Linked DNA regions of Oreochromis niloticus. The protein of the gene in region 1 interacts with the protein of each later gene in a pairwise test. Links are inferred from orthologs where the notes say so. Each region holds a gene or a part of one and is shown on either strand. Other genes may lie near its edges.

Region 1 (7,674 bases):
GTCCACAAGCACGGTGTTCCACAAGGCTCTAGATTAAATCCTCTGTTATTTTTTTAGTGTACATTCTTTCACAAGGCCACATTATCAGGACTTTTAAAATCTTTTTAGGATGATTTTATGATATGACATTATGAATTTTCTTGTTTGTTTTTTTAAAGGAAAAAAATTTACAAAATAAAATGTTCAGTTTTTAAATTACTAACCTTTCCTGTCGACTTGATACCCTTCCAAACACAAAAGTAGCAGATAATCCAGCTGAGGATGAGACAAAGGACCAGTTCCCATCGCAAGCCCCCAACTTCCTCAATACCACCAGAGACCTTTAAAACCCGACGCCTGGTCAAATGAAGGGAGCAATGATGTGGGTGAGAGGGAGACCAGGAGACCACAAATGAACGGCAGGTGAAAGGGAAGGACATGTGGAAATTGGGAGGGAGGAAAACTGAGTGCCAGATTGGATGACTGACGGATGACAAAAAAAAAGTGTGGGAGGAAGTGGAGAGTTAAAAGAAAACATCTGAAAATGATCATAAAGAAAGGAGGAGAGAGGGAACGAGACAAGTAAGGGAAGGGAGTGAAAAAGGGGAAAAAGGCATTCTGTTTAACTTGTGTGAGTTGACTATATGCTTACTGCCAGAACTCCACAACAGGAAGAGTAGTGTTCAGTCTGGACGTCATACTCAGATTCAGATGGCTCAAGTCCAAGCATGAGTCTGGTATAGGGAAATAAAACATCAGCAAGGTAAAAATGCCCATTTACAGTGTCAAAGGTGTAGCCTTCAAATTATAGTTCATATATTCTATATTCAAAACTCTTACAGCACACAACATGCCAGGCATACAATAGCCACTGCTTTTTAGAATATACCAGTACTGTAGTACCTGTGTTCCAGTAGTGTCCACATGTGGCCCAAGGTAAATCCCCACTGAAAGACTGGAACAGGTAAAAGAACGCCCATGCCAGGATTATAATATAAGATGTTGCACTGAATGCGATGATTAAGTGACTGGCATAGCCCATGCCTAAAATAAACGAATAAATAAATACAATTGGTAAGGGCCAAGTATTGAAACAGTTCTGTTCTTGCACAGCACCTAAAGTCTGAGAGCTAAAAGGTGCGCAAAGGAAACACCGCAGACGTAAGCTATATAAAAGTGTAATGTCAGTCGAAACACTGTGTAAACACTTTCTCTTTGCAGAGGTCTACTGTCTATAAATAAGGTCGTTGTGCGATAAAGCAGGAGTATAACTGGAATATAACCAACATATTTATGAAATGCATTCATGTGGTTCATACACTTAACAATCATGCGTGTAGTAATCTTTCAGTAGCAGTGATTACTCTCCTACTGGAGGTGTAAACAACTTCCCCTCTGGCACCTTGCCTCAACACTGTTTGTAGTTGGACCGAGACCATTTTTGGACACGGAGGCGGTCTCAGCGGTGTTTCTAGGGGAATAATCGAGCACGCATAAAAAAATAGACTAGGATACAAGCCCGTTGGTAGATATAAGGACTCACTGAATATGTATAAATTATGACTGACATTTCGGAGAAAAGTTTGGGGACGTTCATTTTAATTACCTTGAAAGAGCGGACAAATCCTTCTCCAGCAAGTAATTCCCCCCTGGCTAGTGTACTGTCCCAAGGCAGTCTCAAGGAAAAAGAGGGGGATCCCGCACGTGAATATGAACAAGATGTATGGGATGAAAAACACACCTGTAAGAAAGGTGGAATTTTTCGTTGTTTACACAAGGAGGAAAAAAATACCGTTGGACAAAATGTGCTTGACAACTAAGAGCGTTTCTTTACGCTATCACTCACCTCCTCCGTTTCTGTAGCACAGGTAGGGGAACCTCCACACATTCCCGGGTCCAATGATCGCACCCATCACAGTCAATATAAACTCGGCTTTGGTTCCCCAGTGCCCCCTTCCTTCCACCTCTTCAGCCTTCTCTGGGTGACTGTTTGGCACACGAGCTGTGGAGGTGCAATTCTTGCCGTTTGTGGTCATCTGTTCCCCCATTTAAATGGTTTACTTGGTGCCAGATTTCCTTTGTTTCTGTGTAAAGTTCCCCGCGCACTGGACTAAACCTCACACGGGGTTGGTCACACGAATATGAAGCTGAAGATGCCCTAATGTGGCAGCGGCTCTGATACGCTGGCCCTGTTACTGTGACTTGTGTTGGCTGAGAGGGGTACTCGCCTACTTAAGCTGCAGAGAAATGTGTGTTTTGTGGGATGCAGGGGGGAAAGAGTGATGAAAGAAGCTGGTGATGGGGTCTACTGCTCCGCCTTAATTCATCCGACACCGACAGCAAAACAAACCCTGGGGAACATTTCTACACACTATTCATCCTCCTGAGAACAAAGGAAAAAAGAATCTTTTCAATCAAACATTTTCTTTTGTTATTTCCTTCCTCTTTGGAGCTAAAAGACACACAAAATCAGATACCAATGGAAATCCCGGGTTTTCCTCTATTTAGTATGTATGGACTTATAGGGTAGCTCAAATAACTCGAAAGATAAAGACAAAAAACAAATGTCCATTCCAGATGATATAAATGAATAGACTGGTTCTCAGGAGGTTATTTATTTATTTATTATTATTATTATTATTATTATTTTATATGGCCTCATATATCTTAACTCATAGTACGGTAAACAAATAAATGCAGAAAAAACAACAGGTTTTTACGCTTTACTTGGATCTCGAACTCAGAGAAGACATTTAAAACTGTTTTGACTCAAAAAAAAAATGTCAAAAATAGATGCAGACATCTGAAGACTCTAGCAACATTTATCATAGTAATTTGATTTAGCATTAAATGTCTTGTTTTTCTGTATAAGAAAATCGGAGTCCAGCCAATGGTTCCTAATGGACCTAAGAATTGTGCATAACTTCTGCCAATTACGCACAATTCTTAGATCGACCTTTAGGTGGCACTATTTATAACATTATTTTTCGTACCACACAGCTCTCTATAACACAAAAAAAGTCCAAATGTTACACTGAGAATAATATGCATTTAATTTTCTGATTATTTTATTGGTTTGGCTAATAAATAAAGTAATGTAAAGATTTAGACATGCCCTGGAACTTTAACAGGCATCTTGACATTATTTATGTATTTATTTATTGTAGAGAAAATAAGCAACTACTCCTGCAAACTCAGAAAAAAAGTTTGGGCAACACTCTAACTCGATAAGCCTCAGAACTTTGAATCCTTAAAATTAATTCAATATTTAAGGCAGGGCAGAATTATTTGTTATGCATTATAGTTATTTATCATGAATTATCATGTGTTGGCAGTTTCTGATCCAGATAAGTTGTCTTACTCTTAAACTGCACTAATACTCAATACCAAGGATCTGAAAATGATGCAGTGGCAGAAAGATGACACTGAAGCACCCCAACTGTGTACTTTTGCAAAATGCCACATCATTCAATTCAGTTGTATTTATATAGTGACAAGTAAAACCAGCTGTCACCTCAAAAGTTACCTTTTTATATTATAGGTTAAAGATCCCAGTGTGTTAGAGCAGGGATGAAGCACTTGGTGACAGTGGGAAGGAAAAACTCCCTTTTAACAGGAAGAAATCAAGAAGCAGAAGCAGATTCAGGGAGGGGTAGCCATCTGCCACGCTGGAATGGGGATGAGGGGAAAAAGAACAGAGCAGAGGTAGACTGGAGAAAAGACAAACTATAAAAGAGAGTTAAAAATTATTCACTAAGTAAAAAACTGATGAACAAAGAAGAAACTCTAAGCCCCCAGTCTACGACAGCATAACTTAGGGACGATTCAGTGTCACTGGATCCAGCCCTAACTATAAGCTTTATCCAAAAGCAAAGTTTTAAGCCTTATCATAAAAGTAAAGGTGTCTGTGTCCTGAATCCAAACTGCAAGCTGATTTCACCGAAGATGGGCCTGAAAGCTGAAGGCTCTGCTGCAAACTCAACACTGAGAAACTATAGGAACCACACGTAAGTCAGCAGTCTGAGAGCAAAGAACTTAGTACAGTAAGGTACTATGAGGTTTTTAAAATATAATGGGGTGTGATTATTCAAGACCTGGTAACTGAAGAGAAGGATATTAAATTAAACTTTGGTTCTGCACATTTGTTTAATATGCAAATTGAAAATCGCCTGGTCAAAAATGGCTCAAAGTTTAATTAGAGTGTTCCTGGAGGTCAAGGTAATGCCATCTAGACTCTGGTTAGACACCGTGTTTCTAAGATTTTCAGGGCTGAGTGCAATAACCTCAGTTTTGTCTGAGTTTAGAAGCAGAAAATTAGAAGTCATCCAGACATTTGTGTATTTAAGACGTGCATGTAATTTAACTAAGCATTGTATGTCATCTGGCAAATACGGGGAAACAAACTACTGGGAAAAAAAATTAAAGGCAAAGAAAAGCTGCAGGTTTTGTACAGCAGTGCTGTTGCACTGGTGGACTGCAGCGCTACTGGAGCCGGCTGGGCTGAAAATCAGTGAGCTCATTCTGGCTACGCTGACAGGAGGGCGGGGCTCCCAGCATCATCACCACCGGCCATCACTTCATTGTACGGGGCTGCTGCTGATGCAGAGACCATAGCAGGCGATTGTGTTTCTCTTATTTAGTAACGGAAGCATGCCATGGATGTGGTTTCTCACCCGTTAGGTCTTCACATTGGATGGGAATCTGTTGTGAGGTAAGGCGATGAAATCTGTCGGCAGTGTGGCTGCTGTAGTTGAGGTTTATCACCGTCTGAACTGGGAGTTACTGAGACTAGCGGGCCTGTTGGCTTGACTCACACTGATCATCCCAGAAGCGAAGCGAGAGATGTTAAGACTGTTTTTGTTTTTTGTTTAATCTCACCTCCGCTTTAAAAATAAATGTAACACTGGAGCGAGAAGAGGCCACCATCGCGTACTGTGGTATAAACCCCTAAAGCATGTCTTATTTAGCCCGGCAGCAGAGATTTAGCCTGCCTGTCGGAAGTGGCAGAGCTCGGCCTACACCAGCAAACCCTTTAAAGATGACGGGGATGGAGCCTGTGTCCGCTTCGGGGTTTTCCTCGCCATGCAGAGCCGGATGCTCACGCTGCATCGAGCATATTTCGAGCTTTTGGTAGCCGTGATTGTTGTGCAGTGAGGATCCCAGGTGGTGTTGCTTGTGCCTTTGGGTAAAGCCAGATAAGCATCCTTTTCTATAATTATCAGGCACGTGTAGTAATTCTGGATGTGGGTTTCCTTTTTTCATCCTTCTTCTTCTGCTTGACAGATCGTTACACGTTGCTGGCCGTGTCGTAAAAGGAAAGGATGCTGCAGTGATGCTGCAAGAGGATGCTAGTCCACAGTGGGTTGGCAGGGCCTCCAGATCGAGGCTCAGAGTCTGTAGCCTACAACTGCCTCAGGGTGTTACACTGGCCTGATTTAACAGACATCACCCCAGCTGGGAAGGTGTTTGTCACAGTATTGTTTTATGGCCAGGGCAGATGCAGGCTAATGACTGACCACAAGCTAATTGTTTATAGATTGCTTTATAAATGCAAGAGTCATCCAATAGAAAACACTGATAGCAAAATGTGGCAAAAGGAGATGACAAAAACAGGAAAAAATGAGATGAGACCTTTTTTTGCTTTGGTTGACCTGTGGGCTTATTACTAATAATAATGCTCTATAAATTTGTTAAATATGTTGCTGTTGTCAGAACCAGCTGAGCAGAGGTGAGATAGTTATATATATCCCTGTATCATTAAGTCTAGAATCCTATTTTCAGATCTTATCCATGCATCATCAAGGATTACTTTGGGTATAAAGAGGAATTTATTATCCCGAACAACTACAGAAGCTTGCAGCTTCAACATAACAGTCAATGCTAACACCATACTATAATTGCAAGCCATCACTACATATTACAGCTGTATTGTAGATGTTATAATGTTTGTGGACATTTAGCCAGGCATACAGGAAATATTACAAATTAAAATTTGCAATAACAATGATGCAAACCACCATTTCTGTTTTCTGTTTCAACAAATGTATTTTCCAATTTGTTAATCTTGCAAGATACACCTTATTTCCCACTCTTATTAATACAACTATTGTTTTAGAATTATATTTACTTTTTCGAACTTTAATTTGTTTAAATATGAATTATTAAATAAAAAAATGGAAAGAAAACCAAGTATTTTAAACATGGAGCAGATGTACACCATAGTCATTTAGATCCATTTCCTGCACTATTTCCAGCATTAGCAGAGCTCTGCTTATACACAGGGTTGGTATTTTGACCTCAGGCAAATGGATTAGAAAGCATCTTTTGGTCAGGACTGAAATGTAATCCAATAACAAGAAGAACAGTTCTTCTTCACTTTAGCCAAAGTGATGGCACTTTGAACCAGATTATGTCACAGCTCTAAACCAGACTGATTAAACTTAGTTTGCCCCTCGATGTTGGGGCAATACTGGCATTGGTCCAGCTAAGTTTTACTGAGAGGGTTGCATAACAGGGATTAACTAAATCAAAAATAGTCCTGAAATGCAAGATTGTGTTTGATGAAAAATGAACATGACAGAAAGATAAAGCTGAAAGTGCCAGTTGGTTGAGCTGTCACAAACACGTGGACATAACATTGCTAAAGAGATCAGTCTGTGTGTCTAGGTCTGGTATTAGGGAGGAGGTTGGATTTCTGCTTCACATCTGGAACACGAGCTCCCAACAGTGTTCCGTCTGTATTTACAAAATCATATTACATATATCATATCATATATCTGAGTCTTAAGTGATAACTGTTAGGTGGATTGTGACATTAATGAATCATATTGAATGACTGAACATGCAGTAGAGTATTTATTCCTGTGTGCTTTGACTTGGCAGAGAATTATGTATATGAGAAACACATCATCATACCTGCATGTAGACATGGTCAAGACAGTTGAATTATCAGATTCACAGTTCTCTGGACCAGAAGTTAGAGAGGAGAATGGACAGACAGAGCTAATAACGAAGGCAACAATACCTCAAACAAACACTTGTTGCAGCCAAGGTATGCAGAAGAGCATTTCTGAACATATAATACCTTGAACCTTGAAGCAGATGGGTTGTGGGTGCAGAAGACCACACCAGGTGCTGCTTCTGTCAGCTAAGAACAGCAAACTGAGGCTACAACCCATATGTGCTCATCTAAATTGGACAATAGAAGATTGGAAATAACGTTGCCTGGTCAGATCAGTCTCGATTCCTGCTGCAACTGTCGAATGTTTGAATTTGATGTAAACAAAATGAAAGCATGGATCCATTCATCCTCAACAGTTCAGGTTGCTGGTGGTGGTGTGATGCTAATGTGATATTTTCTGCATGAAATAGTGGTCCAATCTGGTACTACTAATGTGTACCTAAAAAGTGGCTGGCATGTATGTTTTCAGCTTTGCACTACGAGTGTTCATAGTAAAGCAGTGTAAAAATACACATTAATAGGTGGAAGACTTGGTGGTGGCACATATTAAACAAAAGACTTCCAACCATGTGACTGTTTGGACAGGGTTAGGGAAAAAATGCTTGGCTAGGCTTTGAGAAAATCACGATATGGGGAAAATTAACCTTTTCAGGATGTTATCCACAGAATTCTCGCATCTGTAAAAAGCTTATAGTCCTTTATTTGTTTACTACTGTGAGGATATGCACTACAAG
Region 2 (7,507 bases), on another chromosome or scaffold:
TTCAGGTTCAATAAACACCAGCACCTGAATCTTCACTAAAAGTGGCTTGTCAGTCTGAATGGACATTGGAGGAAAAGTGTCACCCTGAGAAATTACCTTCTCCTGAAAAGAAAGATGTTCAGACACAACTTCCCACACTGTGACCGCCAATGATAAGAGAGGCATTAGACTGAAAAGTGACCTCTTGCACCATCCATCTTTGTGGCAGCTTACTTTTTCTTTTTAAAAGTAAGAGGTTTGTTGTATTCGGAGGTTGGGTGCTTCAGAATAAAGCAGTGCATCAACAAAATGGGTATCCTTTTCCTATACAGCGGAACAGAGCATTTATTTTAGTTGAGCAATTATGAATTCTGTAATGAAAACATGAAATGGACTTAACAGTCATGAAAGTGCTTCCATAAGAAACTAAAGCACTGGGTTTAAACAGTGCTATTTTAATTACATAAAGTAATCATAAAGTAATATACAGTCTTTTCTCTTTTGTCGACTCGCCTACAGTTTCTTGCCCAACAAAAACAGAAAAACAAAATTCAAAATTTCTGTAACCAAAATAGTACAGTGCAATTTATGTATTTCGAGGTATTTTCCTTCAGCAGGTTCTGGTATTCAGCTGTTGATTATTTTCATTAGTATGTGGCAAACAATCCCAGAATTGAAGGAACTTTCAGGCCAGCTAAAATAATGCCTTTTTGTAGGTTTGCCACTTTATATTATGTAACTGGATGGCAGAAAAAAAACCCCTAACTTTATTAGTGGATTGTTGCTCAAACCAGAAAAGAATAAATTTAACATTTATTCATTCAATAAATAAATGAATAATAAATACATAAAATGAACATGTGTCTTTAATGGCATGTTTATATGTTTACATGAAGCAAATGATGTCAAGATATTGCAGGTTAGTTTCTTTTATTGTCTTTCGGGTTTTTTTAATTTTCAAAAACAATTCAAAAGTTATTTAGTTGTATTTATTTCTTATTTTATTTTTATGGGTCGTTGTAATACTTTTATTTTAAAAACCGGAAGTTTACATTAACCGCCTTTATTCTGAAGCCTAGATGTTGAAACAGGAAGTATTTCAGCTGTGCAACATCCAATTAGAATGGACGGAAATTAAATCCGCTACCTGACATTTTCCCCATGGGCGGATCAAAACAAGCAGGGAGGTGAAGGTAACGCTAATATTAAGCAGCCTAACATGATGCTTGTGTCTCTCTCTGCTCGCTAAGTGCATTGTAAGTAGCTCAGATGTTTTTGGCCCAGTGTTCGTGTTGGGGAACATTAACGTCAGGGAGCTAAGGTGACTGAGAGGAGGGCTCTGAGTAACTTTCACGTCTGCACGGTGAAAGCAGGGACTGCTAGCTGCTTATAGGGACTGAGCAATGTCTGCAGTGTTAGTTATATAAGGTGTGCTTCATCTGTCGCTAAGCCCGAGCCGGTTTTTGAACATATGCTAGCAAGCTAACTGTTACTGTCAGCTTGTAGCCCGATTAAAAACACTTTTAGCTGACAAAGTTATTTGGAAATTAATTAAATCAACGTGTGGACGTTTGAAAAGATGACATGCTATATTTACCTCTGCTGAAGGGCTACAAAAGTATGAGATGAGGAGGGAGTGTCTACTGCTAGGGGGATGGCCTCTTCGACTGTGAAGTTGGCTAACGATTTGGGGGATATAAATGAATCAGCCACACTTAAGTCACACAAACTGGTATAAACAACCACAAATAAGCCATCTCTCCAATAATTGGATGTTAGATAATAAGTTGCATAACTTTTCTCAAGCTGATTAAAGCTCAAGCGACCGAGTGTGGTCATTTAGGACTTAAAGTATTCCTGTCTAAAATATAACTTTTAATGGCTTTATTGTTGTTTGAGTGCATACCTGCTTCCGATTAGAGTAACAGGAACCTCTATCTTGCATAATCAAGCTAATCCACGCACCCCACCTCACATCAGCAAACAAATGCAGGGGGTAATAGTTCATGATTTGGCCTGGTGCATGAGGCGCATAGGATGGATGGAGGTCAAGGATGCTGCCTGTGAACAAACGTTTTGGATATGTTGTTACCACTAAACATTTAATCTTTATAGAAAAATCCAATTAAATTTATTGATGCCATTTTTTGTGTGTGGAATATCTCAATAAAAATACACATACATATAATTTTTATTTCAATTTCAACATCCTAGCTGTAAAATTATTCTTTCTACTTATGGCCTTCAAATATGCTAGTGCACGAAATGCTATCAATTTTCAAGAAAATTCAGGGTGTTTTTTGAAGCTCCATGCTCCTGACGTTATAGTCATTATGAGCTTAATGATGTAATTCAAATAGTTTTCTAGATATAGCATGGAACTTAAAAAGATCAACATACATTACAGTCAGCCAGAATGGGTAGCTTGCCAATGGGTGCTTAAATGGCCACAGTCATCAAAAATATGCGAGTGCTGTCTCTTCGGTAGCTGTGGGAATGGTGACATCATGTAGGTCAGGCAAACAAGAAGAGGCTTATTCTAGAAGTAGGCCATTGTCTCAAGTCATACTGCAAAGACCTAATCTCTACACAGCCAGTCAGTGACCTCAGAGAGGTTGGTAGTAGTTTTTCATCTCACTCTTTATTAGCATGAACTATGGAAATTACAGTCACTGCTAAAGCATACATCTATATACAAATGTTCTGTTTGCAACAATGAAATTACAGAAATGGAGAAGAAATTATCAACAGTTACATGTTGATGGCAGACACTCTCTTTCTCTTCAAACATGCACATTCACTCTCCTGAGAGGTGTGCTGTTAAGAAAGGTCATTGCTTTCTTTGCATTAGCTTGGTAAATCCTAAATTCTTGGTCAAAGATAATTTCAGTTTTTTCTGTAACCCAGACTTTCTGACTCAGTCTCAGTGAATGCTCACAAAAATAGAGTAATTAATTTGCCATTTCACTCTTCTTTTGCACAAAATGGGCCATTTAAGTGCTACCCACTTGAGTCCGAGCAATTCTATGTAATAAAAAAAGACTAAAGAAATGATCATCAAAAAAAGAAAATGATAAAAAGCAACATTGGTTTTGCAAATATGGCAAGCGAGTAATTCTGCAGAAAATAATTTATTCTTTTGAGTTAATACACGAATGTTAGCACTCACTACAGGCTTTTATTTATTTATTATTTCTCAAGTTTTTTTAAACATTAAATGAGTGTGACATTGCTCCATAGACACACTTATTAATTTTCTGCATCACCTGCTGACTATTTGAAGCACACAGTTTGTGTTGCTCTAACGTCACAGCTTCCTTTAATGGTAATGTAAAAATGCAAATCAACAGGTTGTATGTATAAAACACATTTATTTCTTTTTAAAATAGTCTGTGAGTGCCACAATTTCATTGATTGTTTTAGTTTTCACCTTAATAGGAATACTAATTCTGTTCTGAAGAAAAACGTGTTATACATGAAACCTGTTGAGTCTTCTGGTACTGCCAAGTCTGCTTCACACTGCTGTGAATAAAATACTACAAAATTCAATCAGTAAAATTAATTTTACTTAGATCTGACTGCGCTAAAGTGCATGTTAGAGAATTTTTAGATGTTAGATGTTATATTTTTTATTTTTTTTTACTGACTTCTATCCCCTGTTCCTCTGATACTTTTTGACTGAAGTAGGTAGCACTTGATCTGTCAACTTTGTGCAGAAGATGGGTGAAATGACACATCAAACGCCCTTTTTTTATAAATGTTTGAGCACTCTCAGAGGCTGAAGCAGAAGCCTGGGATAACAGAGAACATTGATGACTCCTGTCTTGATATGAGTTATCTGAATTTGCTTGTTAGTACATTGTTTCAGTTATGTGTAATTCATCCAGGTTAAAAGAAAGCATCTTTGTGACTCGGAAAGTTGAGGCTAAAGTTTTCAAACTTCCTGAAAAATAATTAGTCTTTTGTCAGACCTTCACCTCAGCATGCTGTTGGAAAATCAGACTGTGAAGTGAAGTGCCACAAGCTAATCAAAAAAAGGGCGCTTCAGTTTCAGGGCTCTTCTGGAGCAAATGCGGGTCCACTTATCAAATATCGTGGTTCGGTTAAGCACTTAAAGAGAATAGAGTGGTTAATATTATTAAGCCCCTTTTCTTATGAAATATGAGTTTTTTTCTTGAAATATTTCTACAAATATCTTGCAAATTTGCTCAAATACTTTTTTTTTAAGAAATTGCTTTTATTTGATAATACAACCCTATTGTGACAGTGAGGTTTTTTTTCTCCTTTACACCAAATGGATGGAGGTCAGGGTGTAGAGTCAGCTACCCTCTCTCTGGGGCTGATAGGTATTCTGTGTCTGTCCTATGGTTGCTTCAGTAGGGCTGATGTTTGCTGTCCGGGGGAAATGGATACTGGGCTTTGTGGTGAACGACAGGCCTTCTAATCAAAGCCACCACTTCCCTCCTGTTTGTTTGCGCTATCAGCCTACAGGCCACATTCCCTCCACTAGGGGTTACGCTTGGCTACTCTATGTCAGTGAGGTCAGAGGTTCACAGGACTGGAAAGTGAGAGTGACATTCCAGCCGGGAGAGTCAGATATACAAGCTCCTTGGCTTGAAAGTGTACAGGCTGTAAATAGCTGCTGGACCTGGGAGTCAGGGGATCAACAGGGTATAATCAGAGAGAGTGGGGGTGTTATTGGAGATTGAGGAGGGGGGCAGTCAATGAGCTTTGGAGTTATTTTGGGAAGGATTTTGGTTAGATGTTCTACTGGACCCAGTCTGTGTCTTTTGATTTTAGCTTAGCACGACTGGGAGGCTCACATGGAGATCAACAAGAAAGAGGATAAAGGAGAAGATGACAGTGAGTGAGGGTTGGTTGGGAAGATTTTAGGCTCAATGTTGCTTTCCCAGGCTTACACCTGTGTGTGGGTGTGTGTGTATGCTTCTAGTTCAGCCTCCAAGGTTCCTTTGTGAAAGCTTCCTGTGTCCGCATTACAGTGTCACTTTTTTGAGATTAGGCTCGTAGTTTGGTGTGTTCACCAAAAACCTTTCTTTGTTTTCTAATCTGCTGGCAAAGGAATCTCTCAAAGGTGCTATGAGTCAAATGCTGACATTCTTTGAAAAGCCCTGTCTTGTTGGGGTGATAGCTTGAATGCGCCTTCCCCCTATATTCTTCAGGCGACACCACAGATTAAAATACCATGTTTTTTATATTATGTTAGTTCTGTGCATACAAGTTACATTTCCCTGTATTGCACTGCCAGATCAAATGAAAACATCGCTGTAGCTAGCCTGTGTGCTTTTATTGAGAGATTAGACCTACTTGTGTTCTCAGAATAGGCTTTCTAATATTGTTCCAGCCGCAGGCCCTGAGGGGGAGATGACAAAGGAGGATGTTTCAGAGCCTGTTGAAGGCGACACGGTCCTGGGCTGCCGCGCTAGACTCTCTTCTCATCAGCGGCCAGTGATCCACCAGGTGGCCTCTGCACCCATGCCCAGTGACTGTGGTGAGTATTCACGCTCTCACTGTGCAGCTATGTGACATTTCAGGCTAGTTAACGCTTTCTCTTTGCAGCATCGACAGGCTGTGAAATGCCACAAGATATGAGACTGAAGAAAGGTTGATGGCTTAAATTGACACAGAGCGATGATGGTGATAGAGAGTCTCTGGGTTCTAATAATGTAGCTGGATATGTTAGTTACACTTTGACATTGTTCTTTTGTAGTGATTTATTTTTAAACAAGAACGTTGTGACTGTTATCGTCTATATCTTGAATTACCTAATTAATCGTAAAGCCATTTCAGCAGGTTTGATGCTGATTTGCTTTAATGTCCTTAAATACTTGGATGTGGTCACAATTTTTTTTAAAAGTTGGTACTGACTCTGCATTTTAAGAAAGTTTGATTTCTTTAAGAAATTACTGTGTTGATTTGGTGCTAGGTTTTTGAGGTGAACAGAAGTCAAGTAACACTTGACTGTTCAATTACTTCTAAGTTGAGTGATGTAATTTACAGTCTAATTTTTATATGTTTAATGCCTTTTTTCCCCAAGACCCTCTTAAAGTTGAATCTTTAATCAAAGTATTTCATTTCAGATTTGCTGTAGTTGCGTACAGAGATAAAATTATGAAAAATTTCATGCCCAAATACTTACGGACTTAGCCGACTACAGTTAGTGTTAACTTTTGGCCTTTCACAGTGAAAGCCATTTACCTTCAGCCCCAGCCGGGTCATCTAATGCCTCATTTGGTTCACGGCATGCCATCTACTGTCACATCTGTTTTCATTTGCCTCTGCAAGGGCAGCAAGGGCATTTCCCAAGATTAGTAATTTGCTGAATCGATTGAACAGTCAGTTGCAGAAACGTCTGCAATAAACGTCTGTGCTGCAGAGTTTCACACATGCTCTCTTCATGTCTGTACACGGGAGAGAAATATTTCCGGTCCCACTCCTCATTATACTTAACATGTGTCACTTTCGTTCCTCTTCATTGCTTCCAGAGTTCTCCTTCTTTGACCCCAGTGAGCCGCAATGCAGGGAGGTTCTGTTGGATCCCAGCACCACCATACCAGAGCTGTTTGCTGTCCTCAGGCAGTGGGTGCCCCAGGTTCAGAAGAACATTGACCTCATCGGCAATGAGGTGACATTAAAAAATGTCCAGCTGCTGCGGAATTTCACAGCGGTCCCTTCTGTAGCTGTAATGCTTTTATTTTTGTCATAATATAATCAACTGAAACTTCAGAGGACTTCAGATTAATATAAGTTCTGATTTATTTTTTTTCATTGTTATGGACTCTGTTCAGATACACACCAAATCCCTTCTGCCCGTGTTACACAAAGTAGCTGCATTGCAGTAAACTGTGCAGAGAAGCACTCATCTCAAGGGTAAAAGAAGGCGATCATTTTCTCTGAGTAACTATCACCCTTGAGAAATAAATACCTTGTTTCAATGTCAGTTTACGTAACACCTGTTGTCCAGATTTAAAGATGAGTAGAGTTATGAAAGCCTTGAATTACTTGTCATTCATCACACAATTTCCCCCTAATTTCATTTTAACCTGTTATGGAAGATTTCTGCACGCCAACACCAAGTCCTTAGTGGCACATACTGCATATCTTTTCTTTGCACAGATCCTAAAGAGAGGCTGTGCTGTGAATGATCGAGACGGTCTGACAGATATGAGCCTCCTGCACTACTGCTGCAAGGCCGGAGCCCCAGGCATTGGTAAGTATTGACAGAGGTGGTGAATAAGCACTCTCAGCTGCAGGGTAGAAATAAACAGACATCTACTCTGACGTATGTGTGTGTTAATTTATGTGACCACTCTACTGCTGAACATTATTCTGTATACCTCAGTAAGTGCAGCTGTTCATCAACCACTTCTTAAATACACTCTTTAGAGCTGACTTACTGTCTGTTACTACAACTCCTCTCAACTCTAACACCTGTGTTTGTGACCTGTTCTTCAGGCGATGCAGACACGGCAGCGAGCTTTGCTCGGCAGCTCCTCGCCCTGGGCGCGGA

The links.
Region 2: the proteins of jakmip2 (region 1) and CAP-Gly domain-containing linker protein 4 interact in binary tests that used the Homo sapiens proteins (3 or more experiments, as listed by UniProt). The two-hybrid records come from large-scale screens. The link is inferred for Oreochromis niloticus from reciprocal best matches to the Homo sapiens genes JAKMIP2 and CLIP4.

The regions. Positions count from the first base shown.
Region 1 is NC_031975.2:21,410,190-21,417,863, reverse strand, and holds the start of jakmip2 (janus kinase and microtubule-interacting protein 2), read left to right. Parts: upstream 1-4,516; 5' UTR 4,517-4,690; intron 4,691-7,674. Other genes in the region: sodium- and chloride-dependent GABA transporter 2, read right to left, coding at 204-336, 632-713, 883-1,023, 1,586-1,720, 1,826-2,027.
Region 2 is NC_031983.2:24,619,542-24,627,048, reverse strand, and holds the start of CAP-Gly domain-containing linker protein 4, read left to right. Parts: upstream 1-4,334; 5' UTR 4,335-4,802; coding exon 4,803-4,842; intron 4,843-5,341; coding exon 5,342-5,488; intron 5,489-6,482; coding exon 6,483-6,622; intron 6,623-7,113; coding exon 7,114-7,207; intron 7,208-7,452; coding exon 7,453-7,507.